Linked DNA regions of Oryza sativa Japonica Group. The protein of the gene in region 1 interacts with the protein of each later gene in a pairwise test. Links are inferred from orthologs where the notes say so. Each region holds a gene or a part of one and is shown in the gene's direction. Other genes may lie near its edges.

Region 1 (6,661 bases):
GCATACTTTGTGCATAATCAATCAACACCTGCCAAATAAAAAAAAGACAAAAGGGAAAATATCCAATAGCAGCCGTTGAAGCTTCTGAAAGCTAGCTGGCTAATCTGTTCATGGACAGGTTAGTTAGCGACTTAGAAAAAATTAGTACTACATCAGCTTCTGATATTCCTTTTTCCTCTCTTTTTTTCTTCCTTCGTCGATGTAGCTTTCATCGTAGCCCTTTCTTGTGCACTGATCACTCTTCTTTTTCGTCGATCCACACGCCTTCCCCGAGTGGCATGAAATTTGACGCCGCCTGCGAACTCTGACGTCGTTTTCGATGACGAATTAATTTGATAATTTCTGCACCTTTTAATGCTGGTTTAGTGTGTACAGTAAGTGTTAATCTCATTGTGCTGTAGGGATCAGATCGTCTCACTTGGATGATTAGGAGAAAGACGACGAGTAGATGGTGAGAGGTTGTGACTTGTGAAAATTGATACTCCCTCTGGTTCTATATTAACGTTTTGGACAAGGTTGAGATTAAACTTTTATAACTTTAACCATTAATAACTTTAAATATTAAAATATTTAGTTTAAAAAAACTAAAAAAACATATATATATATATATTTGTCTTTTAAAACACTATTATAAAAGTAAACATGTATTTATTTATTGTATATGTTATAATAGAAAAATAAGGTCAAAGATATATATTGTAGAGCGTGTCATTGTTTAAAGCGTCAATCAAAAGTAGGGAGTATTTGTGGATGGAGTCGAGATGAACTCTTCGATGTGTCTGATAATAGTATAAAATCGTGCACATCGAAGATGCCGAAGCACACACGTACCTAGGTCCTTGAGAAGAACATGGACAACAGTTGGGCTATTTGTTTTTTACTTGCCTAGTGTTCCTTTTTTGTTCTTGGAATATTCAGATTTGAGCAGTTGGATTGAATTAGATTCAAAATCTGGTCCCTGTACATTTTTAATTTTAACTTTGGAGTTCTCCTCTCCAATATTAGTATTAATCATGGGGAAACTTCAAGCATCATTGGTTTAAAACAGAATAAGGGTAAAACAGAGCATCACCTTGACAGGATTGTGCTAATTTGATCCTTTGGAATTGTGATGAAAGCACTAATTTCAATTCAAGATGGCCACCAGACTTATGGAATTAAATTCCAATTGAACAATTTTTATGCAGATTCATGTGAGCTGAATTTGGTGTTCAATGTGGGTCTGCACTCTAATGAAGTTCACCTAAAAAAAGTACAAATGCCAAATTAATAACTATATATGACAATGTGATGTCTTTATGTTCTCTCTCTCTCTCTCTCCATCTATCTCTATTCCCTACCTCTCTAGGTATTATGACAACAACATTCACATGGCATCCACCAAACATATACGTAGATATTGACCTTGGTGTCTTAATCATCAATAAAACTATCATAAAGTATCATGTGGAGAGAATATCTCAAGAAAGATGGTTATAATACACCAGCTAGCACTTTGTTATTTTTATAATTGTAACCATCTTTTGGGCTGAACAAAGATGGTGATTTCTACTTAGAATATGCAAATGGGCAGTCATGTGTGTCTTATAAATTGTTTTTTCTTCAGGCTTCAGCTGACTAACTGGATTGTGTAGTGGGCCCATACATACATATATACATTGCAGTCCATCTTTGCACAATGAGACATGTTCTAGGATTGACTGTAATTGGGCTAGCTATGAACTATATATGAGCTTGAAGGTTAGGCCTGGCAGGCTGACAGCCCAACATGGCTGTGGTTGTCTGCATGATTAGTTCTTATATCTTGTAATGTTAGGAATTCATACCGAAACTCATATCGTAATATTGAAGGAAAAAATAATAAGGCCAAAATATTGTGCAAATTCTCTTAAATTCATGTATCCTTCCTACTTGCCAAAATCACTAGAGCATTGAAACTGAAAATTTCGGGTCTATTGGACACATAAACAAACAAACTATTTCACCTAGATTTTTTTTTTGAAATTTTTGATTCTTTGTGAATTATAAAAAAAAAATCAAACTTGACCAACTTTTGTTTTAAATTTTAAATTATTTGGCCCAAAAATTATTGTAATTTCTGAAATTCCGGTCATATCAGTGCCTACTAATAGATTAAACCCTAGTATAAAGTTCTTTTTAAAACAATGGGAAAAAGGCCGTATGCCTATCTAATGCATTTACAACTCAATCTTTTTGAAGGTGACTGAATCTTCCAGCAATAAAAGGTGATGTCTTCTTAAAGATCCACAAGTAAAGAGATTTTGACAAGTAATGCATACTTCATGCTCAATCGTGGATGTGAATGCATATCATAAACATGCATCAAATGCAACAAGATTGACCAGGGTTCGCGAAATAAAGCAATAAGATTGATCACAACCTCATCTCACTGAGAACAAGGCCAAGGCATATCAAACACATCATCGGCAATCTTTTCAAATCTTATTCTTTACCATCCATATAACATGAATGGGGGTGTAATGCATGTACTAACCAAGCAAACCATCAAAAAAAAAACCTCAACAAAAATGCATCAACATTCACCATAACCTCATCCCATCGATAACAAGGACGAGGCATATCAAACACATCAATGACAATCTTTTCAAATATCGGCCTTTACCATCCAAATAATATGAATGGGTATAATGCGTGTACTGAACAAGCAAACCATCACAAAAATAAAAGAATCTCAAGCAACTTCGTCGTGAAGTCTAAGATCTACAGAAAACATAATGCCATCATGCATTTGACATCTTATCTACCACAACTCCACAAGGCCATAAATCCACACAAGAGGAACACTACCATTTTTCTCTCAGAGGAGGACAACAAACGAACAAGACATGAAGCCGATGAGTCCAGCAGAGCAGTCTCACTCTATTCCCCCAGTTTGATCTGGCACGTCGGATCAGGATCGGACGGCCGAGAGCCCATCAGTCACCGCCGGAATTAAATCCCAGCGAATCCCAAATCTCCCTCAAAAAAGAAAAAAAAAAGAAGAAAAATCCCCCAAATTCGCCTAACTCCGAATCGAAACCTCTCTTCCCCCTTTCGCCTCCGCGACGCATATGCCTCCGCCTCCGCCTCGTCGCGGCGCCCCCAAACCCTAGCCCGGCGCGGCGAGTCCCCCATCGGCGGCGGGAGCGGCGGGAGTAGGCGGGAAGGCGGGATCTCCTCCGTCCCACATGGCGGCGGCGGCGGCGGTTGCGGGGGCGGGCGGGGTGGGGCACGTGGTGGAGAGGTTCAGGGCGAGGCTGCGGGAGGAGCAGGAGGAGGAGGAGGGGGGAGGCGGGGAGGTGGCGGCGGCGGCGGTGGTGCGGGTGTACGTGGAGGTGCTCTCGGAGCTCACGTTCAACTGCAAGCCCATCATCACCGAGCTCACCATCATCGCCGGGCAGCACGCGGCCCTCGCCGCGAGGGGGATCGCCGACGCCATCTGCGCCCGCATCGCGGAGGTTGCTGTTTTCTCTCTCTCCCCCCTCATCCGGGGGGCTCTTCGCTTGTATGTACATAGCCTAGGTTTTGGGGATGTGTGGGCTTGCGTAGACTACTCGTCCAGTGGATATGCTTGCTTGCTGATTGTTGTGAATGCTAGGGTTTGGTGATGTGCTTCTGCTGAAAATTTTAGATATATACATGTTTTTGAATTTTGGAGCCAGTGTAAAAGTTCGGGTTTGGTGCGCTTTGTAGATGACATTTTGTTCCTAGGGTTTTGTAATCGTTGCATTTGATGTGTGATTTTTGTTGACTTGATGCACATATAGTGAACAATCGGATCAATCCCTGTTTGTAGTGGCTCCGATTGTTGCAAATTTGGTTGCTAGGGTTCAGTAATCAGAGTGAGATTCAACAAGTTTTAAAGTGAAGTGATGGAAACGGAGTGTATGCGATTGGCACCTAGCACCAGTCTGTGATATCTAAGTGATGTATCTATAACTAGAATTGAGTTTCAGATAATCAAGCGTATAGGTGGTAATGGCATTCACAGCCTCCATGCATAGGCTATCTTGTTCCAAATGAAGTTGCTAGGATCTTTGGTTCTGGAAGAAATTTTTTGTCTCTAAAACTGAACCAAAAAAAGGGAAAATAATGGTGATTGGTTGCTCGGAATTTACATGGCTGGGAATTTTTCTAAAATTTTCTTTTAGCTGTTTTTTTGGCACAACATAATTGCTGCTTGAAATGGAATATCAGTAAAACGATTTAGAGTTATTGTTGGACTCTTGGGCAGTATTGTTTTGCTTTGTATTGTCTGTTAATAGTCTATTAGTTATTTAGTTTTGATTTCTTTTCTGAAGAGAACATTAAAACTGCAATTTTAAATGGCAACAATATGGTAACCAATCCTAAGAGAAATGAGTTAATAAACTAAACTAACAGAACACCATGTAGCTTTCTTTACAGATTCTGTTCATCATTTCATAAGAGACTGCTTGATTTAATTTTAATCATATGCATGCTTTCTATTAATTATCTATGAACGAACTGTTCCTTTACATGATTTCTTATTCAATTTTGTTACAGGTGTCTGCCGACCAGAAATTACCATCTTTGTATCTGCTAGACAGTATTGTGAAGAACATAGGACGAGAATATGTAGGGCATTTTGCCGCTAGGTTGCAGAAGGTATTTTGTGATGCCTATAGGAAAGTTCACCGCAATCAGCATGCTGCAATGCGACACCTCTTTGGTACCTGGTCACAAGTGTTCCCTTCCTCTGTGCTACGCGGAATTGAGGATGAGCTTCAGTTTTCCCCCTTAGAGAATAAGCGCTCTGCCACAGCGACTGATATCCGACAGTCAGAGTCGATATCTCCTAGACTGTCTCATGCCATTCATGTAAATCCAAAATATTTAGAAGCACAACAACAATTTAAGCAGTCAACTTCGGTATGTGTTTTTTACTTCTTGTTAATACCAACTTGATTATTTGCTACAGCTAGTTGTTTTGACTATTTGTTGTGTGATTTAAGCATGGTGTCTATTTATTTCATTGCCTAGCTTGAGATATATGTGATGCCTTTCTGTTTCAGATCAATTTTATACATTGGAGTTTGTGCATATATTTTTTAGGTGCATCAACCAATAACTCGTGGAAATCGGCAAATGAATGATGTGGAAGAGGATCAAATAAATGGTTTAACATCTAAAAGTTCGCGAGGATGGCCTGCAACTAATTCAAAGCTCCAGGTACTGGGTCTTTCATCTTCCTTTTTTTTGCTTCTTGTCATTCTTTCACTCTGAATTACCAGCCAGGTTTGAGACCTACTCCCTCCGTCCTAGAAAAAACCAACCTAGGTGGGGATTTGACACCACCTCCTCATGTCCAGATTCATTGTCCTAGATGGTGTCAAATCCCCACCTAAGTTAGCTTTTTTTGGGGCGGAGGGAGTATAAGCCAATACTATACAGATAGATGCTACTGTTGAGTCCTATCTTTTTATAAGTACACAGTAATGAGTTCTGTTTTTTGCGCAACTCATTCTGGTTCTCCTGTGATCACCAGAAAATTAAACTGCATAAATCCTAACACTGAAGACAGTATCTACTAGTTGCAAATCAGATCCTTAATGCATTTGTGCTTTTTTACAACATAGAAGCAGTTCTGTTGTTTTCTTTCTCATATATGTACTGATTACTGACTCATCAATAGGGGCTTTGAAGGTGCTCTCTTTGTAGCTTGACAAAGGAGAACCTCCCTTTTGTTCTGTTTTGGGAGTGGTTATTTGAGATAGCAACAACCATGTGATTTAACACATTTGTAAACCCTGGCTCTGTTTGTAGTCTTCAGTGAGTTCCTATAACTCTTGTGATGACATTTGCATTGTTTGGGACAATGTAAAGCACCTTCGTTGTCTCCAGGTGTAACAAAATCCATCCATCTCAATATTAAATAAGAGAAAATGCTTTTTACAACCCCAAACTTCACTTTCAGAACTCTGCCCTTCTCAAGTCTTAACATTACCCAAATTTAGCCTAGTTTTGGGTGACATGGCGATGTGGCATAAGACTTTAAATATTTTCTAATTTTAAAAATTTGTAAATGACTTCAAAATTCTTCAAAATTATAACTTCTATGGAGTATTTATAACATAGATATATTTCTATATGAGCAAAATATAGTACAATTTGCAGTTTTCCATGCAGAAAATAGTGCTTAAATATGAACAAAACCATATTTTAGGAGATAATTAAACTATATTCCACTCTGAACAAATAGGTTCTAGATGGTCTAATGTACAAATGTTTTTATACTTCAATTACTATTTTGTAAAATTCAAATACGTAACCCAAGGATGAAATTGCATTTGAATTTTTATAATTTTTAAACCACTTCACAAAAAATAATCTGTAAAGATTCTCAGTTGCATATTGGTGTATTGAAACATAAATAAATTATGACTTTATGAGCATAGCAAAATCAAGTTTATTTGATGCACAAAAATGGTTTTATCTAGATTTAAAACTATTTTCTGTGGGGATTATAGTTTATTCAACTCCTATGAACTTTTTGTTGTTGCAAAATACCGTATAGAGCAGTGGCAATTTTTAAGTATTTCTAAGATTTTTATTTTAAAATTTTTGAAATTCGATTTTTTTTCAGCCTTTCCACTTTGCCATGTAATCTTACTCCATG
Region 2 (6,748 bases), on another chromosome or scaffold:
TGGTGGAATGTTTGGTTAGAGAGAAATAATAGGATTTTCGCTAATAATGCTAAGACCGAGCGTGAGGTGGCCTATGTCATAAAGCAGGAGCTTGATCTCCGCAAGTCGGCTTTTAGGCCGCCTTGATGTCTTCTTTGTTTTCTCTAACTGGCTTGCAAGCACTATATTTTCTCTTTCTAATTAAATTTCGGCAGAGCTCCTACCGTCGATTTCCAAAAAAACAAGCACATGTACATGTGGTTCTTTGATATTTACTCTTTTATTTTACAAATTTGATTTAATAGAAATTCAAAGTGATTTATAATATAGAACGAAGGGAGTAATTGACATCATCGTCACACAATCACTGAACTGTTTACATGGATATAATCGTAATCTACACAGCAAACAGAAAAATTCTTACAGTTGTTCCAGTAAATTGTTTCTTAGTTACGCCTTGCGCTGCAGGAAGGCGTAGGTGGCCCCGATCGCGGCGGCGGCGGCGGCGATCTCCAAGGCGCGCGGCGTCAACCTGGCCGCCCCCGTCAGCTGGTAGGCGAACTCGACGGCGAGGAGCGCCGCGAGCGGCCACAGCGGGGCCTTGAGCCGGTCCCTGATCCCCGGCGAGCCGCGGGGAGCTCCCTGGAACCGCGTGAGGAAGTAGAAGTAGAGCAGCAGGAGGAGGTACGGGTAGGCGAAGACGGCGGCGGAGAACGGCGCGCCGCGCTCGAAGCGGCGCATCTCCAGCGTGGAGTTGAGGGCTGCGAGCGAGTAGCCCACGAACGTGGCCCAACCGTCGCCGCCGCCGCCGTCGGCGGCGTCGGCTTGGGGATGGTGATCCGCCGGCGGTGGGAGCGGGGGCTCCTCCTCCGGCGGCGGCTGCGGCGGCGCTTGGCGGGAGGCCATCGTGGTGGATCGGAGCACGCCGCGATCGAGAGGATGCAATGCGAGGTGGAGGAGGAGGAGTAGGTAGCTCGCGAGCAGGAAGAATGGCGGAGATCGAGGAGAGTAGGCGACGAGACGACTCGCGATTGTCAATGATTGTAGGCGCGTCACGCGTGGACTTGAAATGTGATGCGAGATGATGAAATAAAAATGAAATGTCCTGCAATTTGGTGAGTTTCAAATAAGATTCGACGTAAATTGAGTGGTTTCAATTTGAGATGACGAAATTGGAGTTAGATTGAGAATTCTGTGAGTTGAAGTAAACTCTCAAATTTGTGCCTAGTGGTCCGAAAAAAAACGGAGCGGTCCATTAGCACGTGAATACATAATTAATTAAGTATAATTAAGTATTAGCTACTCCCTCCGTTTCATAATGTAAATCATTCTAGCATTTCTCATATTTATATTGATATTAATGAGTCTAAACATATATATCTATTTAGATTCATTAACATCAATATAATTGTGGAAAATGCTAGAATGACTTACATTGTGAAACAGAGGAAGTATTTTTTTTAGCACGTGATAAAAAAATTAGAAATATGATTTTTTTAAGCAACTTTCGTATTGAAACTTTTTTAAAAAAAACACACCGTTTAGCAGTTTTAAAAGCGTGCGCGTGGAAAAAGAGAGGGTGAGTTGGTAAGAGGATTCCGAACACACCCTTACTCTCTATCTTAACATTCTGAGAGTTTGCAATCTAAACTCACTCGCACGGACAATAATCGAGATTGAATTTGTGAAATAACAGGATAATATTTATCATGAAAAATTGTTCGTGTATACTACTTTTTATAATCTTTTTGGTGAACATCGTTATCATAGAGTATGGTAATGGATGCATTGACATATATATACAGTAGTCCCTAACGATATATTGAAAAATATAATGAAGATAAAATTGTGTTTGGTTTCTGCACCTTTGAACATGAAATGTTTGGTTATATAAAATTTATTATTACTCATAAATAAATCGAGTTTGAATTTAATGTTTTTAAACTTCAATAGATTTCCTATATATTTGTCGACAAATTTTCTCCTAAAAATATGACAGATATAATTATATTACAATCATAATGTAATCACACTGTAACTTAACTTATATGTAATTACACTGTAACTACAATGTAACATGTATGTAACTTTCAAAAATCTCCACATAACATGTTATTTCGGTAAAATAGAGATCATGGGATCAAATCCTCTCATATGTGCGTACTGTGACTTTTTTCTTCTTAACCTGCACAAAACTTGAAATAGATCTAACGGTTTAAAACTATATGAAAGTTACATACAAATTACATTGTACCTACCGTATAATTACATACAAATTACAGTGTAATTACACTATAATTATATTCTAAATACATCTGTTAAATTTTTAGGAGAAAATTTATAGGTGATCCCGAATCCAATATCCAAGCCCGGCTCCGGCCAAAGCCCAAATTGCAATCCCTACATGGGCCAAAAATGCCCAAAACCATCGAAACAAAACGAATCCTTTTCTCCTTTTCTCGCAAAATCTCCAAAACCGCTTCGGCTTCCTCTCTCCCCTCACGGCGGCCGTCGCTTCGTTCGCCGATTAGCCGGCGCCGCCGCCGCCGCCGCCGGTAGAGAACCCACCCCCTCCCCGCATGGCCGCCGCGGGCGGGGCCGCGCAGCCGCCGCGGCAGTACAAGCTGGCGCCGCAGAGCGAGCTGCGGGTGGAGGTGCCCCCCGACGCGCCCGTCCGCGTCCGCCTCGTCGCCGGCACGGCGGAGGTCTTCGGCACCGAGCTCCCCCCCGAGGGCTGGGTCCCCGTCCCGCCCCGCTCCAAGATCGCCGTAAGCGCGCCCTCCTCCTCCTCCCACATCCCACCTCCCGCGGAGGAGAAGAGACCCGCCACGGGATTCGCCTCGCCTCGGCTCAGCTTTGCTGCGACCACTGATTTCTTGCCATTTGGTATGTTTCGGGGTAGATTTTCACCTGGCACGGCGCGACGGTGGAGCTGGACGGGGTCAGCGAGAGCGAGTACACGTCCGACGAGGTGATTTCTTCTTCTCCATATTCTAATCCCCCTGTGAATTTTGGGGTTTTGAGCTTCTTCCAATGCAATGCGATGTGGTTGTGACATAGTACTAATTACATGCTCATGGCTGTAGACACCGATGGTGGTTTATGTGAACACCCACGCGATCCTTGACGCGAGGAGGGCGAGGGCGAGGGCCGCCGCGGCTCAGGGTGCCCTGCCGGAGTCCTCGCAGGTTTGTGATCTCGTCTCTCTCGGTTTGGCATCTCGTCATGCAAGTTATTGCACGGTTAATTGGTCAAAAATTGTGTAGTAGATGCACACTTTTTGATTCTGTTATGTATATTACATAATTGCATAATACTATGGGATGGCTAGCATGCTAATTTTACAGTTTGTTGCACATGAGGTGTTTTAGATTCCTAGAAATAATATAGTGTGTGTGCCTGTACTATGTACTCCAACATAAAACTAGTTCTGTTTAACAACCAATGTGTTAGAGCAATAACAGGTTACAAGTTGATGAGTACCCTACGGTCCAAAATTGAATATGGGTGTTGAAAACATTGAAACATTGTGCGAACAAAGGGTATATTTATCCCGAGGTTTTTGGGCTGTCTTGCTTAGTTTTGCCTCTCTTCGCGGTTTAGGGACCCAGAGTGATCATTGTGGGGCCAAGTGATTCTGGAAAAAGTACTTTGTGCAAAATGCTCCTTAGCTGGGCTGCCAAGCAGGGCTGGAAGCCTACATATGTGGATTTAGATATTGGCCAAGGTTCGATAACCATACCTGGATGTATTTCGGCAACACCCATTGAGAAGCCTATAGATATAGTTGATGGGATTCCCTTGGAGATGCCGCTTGCATACTTTTACGGCCATCCAAGCCCAAGGTATGTCGTTCCCACTAAGGCCTTGTTCGGTTACGCTTGGATTCAATCCGGGCTGGGAATAACAAGTATAGTAAGAAATTTATGATAGATACAATGAGAGACCGGAATTTATTTCGGGCCGGGAACCAATTTACTCATGATAGGGATAATAAGAGACCTGGAATCAATCCACTAGTCAAGAGGTGTGGAACTAATCCCGGCCTCTTATTGTCCCTATCATGAGTAAATTGATTCCCGGCCTGGAATAAATCCCGGTCTCTCATTGTATCTATCATAAATCTCTTACTATACTTGTCATTCCTGGCCCAGATTAAATCCAAGCGCAACTGAACAAGGCCTAACTGTTTTTTCCATGTATTTTATATAAAGACTTCTTTTCTTCTACTCAACTTTTTTGGCACCTCAACTATTTCTTTATGTTGCTGACAGTGTTAGTCCAGATGTTTACAGAGCTCTTATGAAGGAGCTAGCTCAGACATTGGATAAACAATTCTCTGGAAATTCTGAATCTAGGGCAGCAGGAATGATTATCAATACTATGGGGTGGGTTGAAAACCTTGGTTTAGAGGTAATTTTATTTGTTTCATGAGCAACTTAGATTTTGGTTATGTGTGTTGATGGCTAATATTTATATTCTAGCATGAGTTAATTCACCATTTGTGTTGTGCAGTTACTTCACAATTCAATTGAGATTTTCAAGGCTAATGTAATATTGGTATTGGGACAGGCAAGTGCTTCTGTTTTCTTCATAGTGTTGTAGAACTCTGTTCAAATGGGATGTCACTATCGTACTTCATAGTGCTATTTCAGGAGGGATATGCTTGTATTATAGGGCTGTGGAGAGCTCTCTAGTCATTTAGTATTCCCTGATTCTTATGTGCTGCCAAGTGTACTCTGGAATCTATGTTCAGTTTGATGTTGATGATGGCTGCTGTTTATATACCTCAGTATGAATCTAGGGGGGGCAACCAAGCATTTTGTTGAAGTATTGTATTATTGTCTAGACATTTGCTTGTGTGATATCAATTATTAGCTTGTGTTATACTGTCATAGGGGTAGTTACTGCCCCCCCCCCTCCCCTAACAACAACACACACACACAAAGGACAGCGAAACTATTGCTGTTAGGTTTATGTTGACAAGTGCTATCATGAATAAGCATGAAATGAAATGGTCCTGAAGATTGGATCATTTGATTTGTCTACTGCAGGAGAAACTATGGAAGATGCTAAAAGATGCAGCAAAAAATAAGCCCAACATTGATGTTGTAAAACTTCATAAATCAGAAGGTGTTGTTCCGAGAAATCCAAAGTACCGTCAAAAGACTAGAAGCTTCCGTATCAAGGTAAATTATTTTTCTGATAATAAAATGTGGAAGTTCCTAGATTCAACTTTCAAAAGTCAATGTTTCAATACAAGGCATTGTTTGGTAGGCAATATGAGAAATTAATTGATGTAGGCTTAAATACACATGCATTACTGTACAGTGTGACTCACCTTTATGTTCATTTTTCTAATGTTATCTTACAATCGAAGGAGGCTTAAACACACATGAATTACTGTACAATATCACCTCCTTTTTCATTTTTCTAATGTTATCATGCAATCGTATGTTACATTTGTTCAGTTAATGCCATCCTATTCTGCTCTGGTTTGCTAAAGCTAAATTGTAACACTCGCTTTGCAGGAGTACTTTTATGGCATTGCGAATGATCTAGCACCACACTCAAATGTTGTTAACTTCAGTGATGTATCTGTTTACAAGATTGGCACTCATCAAGCTCCTAAGTCTGCACTACCGATTGGTGCAGAGCCTGTGGCAGACCCTACTCGACTTGTTGCTGTTAACATCAGCACAGATATGGTCCACACCGTGCTTGCTGTTTCATATGCTAAGGAACCTGATGAAATAGTTTCCAGGTGATACCAACTGCCCAAATTAGTGCTTATGCTTTACATCTACTAAAATGTTTATGCTTAGAGCCATAGTCAATACAGCTTGATACGGTGATACCTTATTTATGCATATAATTGGTACATCAGGGCCCAGGTATAGGAAAGAAAAATACATAGTAAAGTTTATGGAATTTTGTATTGTCTTTCAGATGGGTGGGTTTCTTGCATGTTTTACATGTTTGATATTATTTTGCTTTCTTCAGACCAATCTATTATCTGTATGCACTAAATAACTTGTCTGTGCACAGTTCTAGCCCTAGCTAGTACGCATGTCACAGCTGTTGCCCACTTAAAAACCTGACAAACCCATTTACTCTAGGTGGCAGTTTTCAAAACTATTTAAGATCTGTATCATATGATCATTAGATTTATATACTTGAAATTCAGGATATCACCAAGTTATCCTGCAATCATTTTCAGTAGTTTACCAGTGTCATTATAATCTGTACTGCTGGATTAGCTCGATCATGCGTGACTAACTACAACTTCTCTAGTCTTTCGTTACCACTACGCAAAAACTGCAAAAATTGTAGCATCCTTTTTCTTGTAACAAACCTGAGTGTACCTCTTTGACAATTCTGGAGATACGTTTGCTATAAACCTCTTTGACAATTCTGCAGCAATGTTGCCGGATTCATCCACGTGACAGATGTTGACATCCAAAGGTACCCCCAACAACCAAGAAAACTAGCATGTACCTTTTTATGGATTCGTGGTAAGACCTAACTTAACATGCTCTCATTTCAGGAAGAAGCTCACATACATTGCACCATGCCCAGGGGACCTGCCAAGTAAGCTGTTAATTGCGAGCTCGTTAACGTGGTACGAGGCTTGATCAGCTCATGGCAGAACGATCAACGATGTAGCTAGGTGGTCAGTTAAATTAATCAGATGGATGTAACACAGATGTATCCCTTGTCCTATCTCCGGGTGTACGTTGTAAACTTGCAAGCTTTTTAGTAAACTCAA

What was found.
Region 2: the proteins of polyadenylation and cleavage factor homolog 4 (region 1) and protein CLP1 homolog interact in a two-hybrid assay, tested with the Arabidopsis thaliana proteins (3 studies listed by BioGRID). The link is inferred for Oryza sativa Japonica Group from reciprocal best matches to the Arabidopsis thaliana genes PCFS4 and CLPS3.

Annotation. Positions count from the first base shown.
Region 1 is NC_089042.1:5,174,746-5,181,406, reverse strand, and holds the start of polyadenylation and cleavage factor homolog 4, read left to right. Parts: upstream 1-3,064; 5' UTR 3,065-3,209; coding exon 3,210-3,479; intron 3,480-4,548; coding exon 4,549-4,914; intron 4,915-5,097; coding exon 5,098-5,214; intron 5,215-6,661.
Region 2 is NC_089036.1:6,588,977-6,595,724, forward strand, and holds the start of protein CLP1 homolog, read left to right. Parts: upstream 1-2,442; 5' UTR 2,443-2,558; coding exon 2,559-2,747; intron 2,748-2,881; coding exon 2,882-2,950; intron 2,951-3,065; coding exon 3,066-3,167; intron 3,168-3,582; coding exon 3,583-3,824; intron 3,825-4,253; coding exon 4,254-4,392; intron 4,393-4,494; coding exon 4,495-4,551; intron 4,552-5,033; coding exon 5,034-5,168; intron 5,169-5,510; coding exon 5,511-5,743; intron 5,744-6,399; coding exon 6,400-6,444; intron 6,445-6,526; coding exon 6,527-6,614; 3' UTR 6,615-6,748. UniProt on the Arabidopsis thaliana protein: Required for endonucleolytic cleavage during polyadenylation-dependent pre-mRNA 3'-end formation. Functions in gametophyte, embryo and postembryotic development.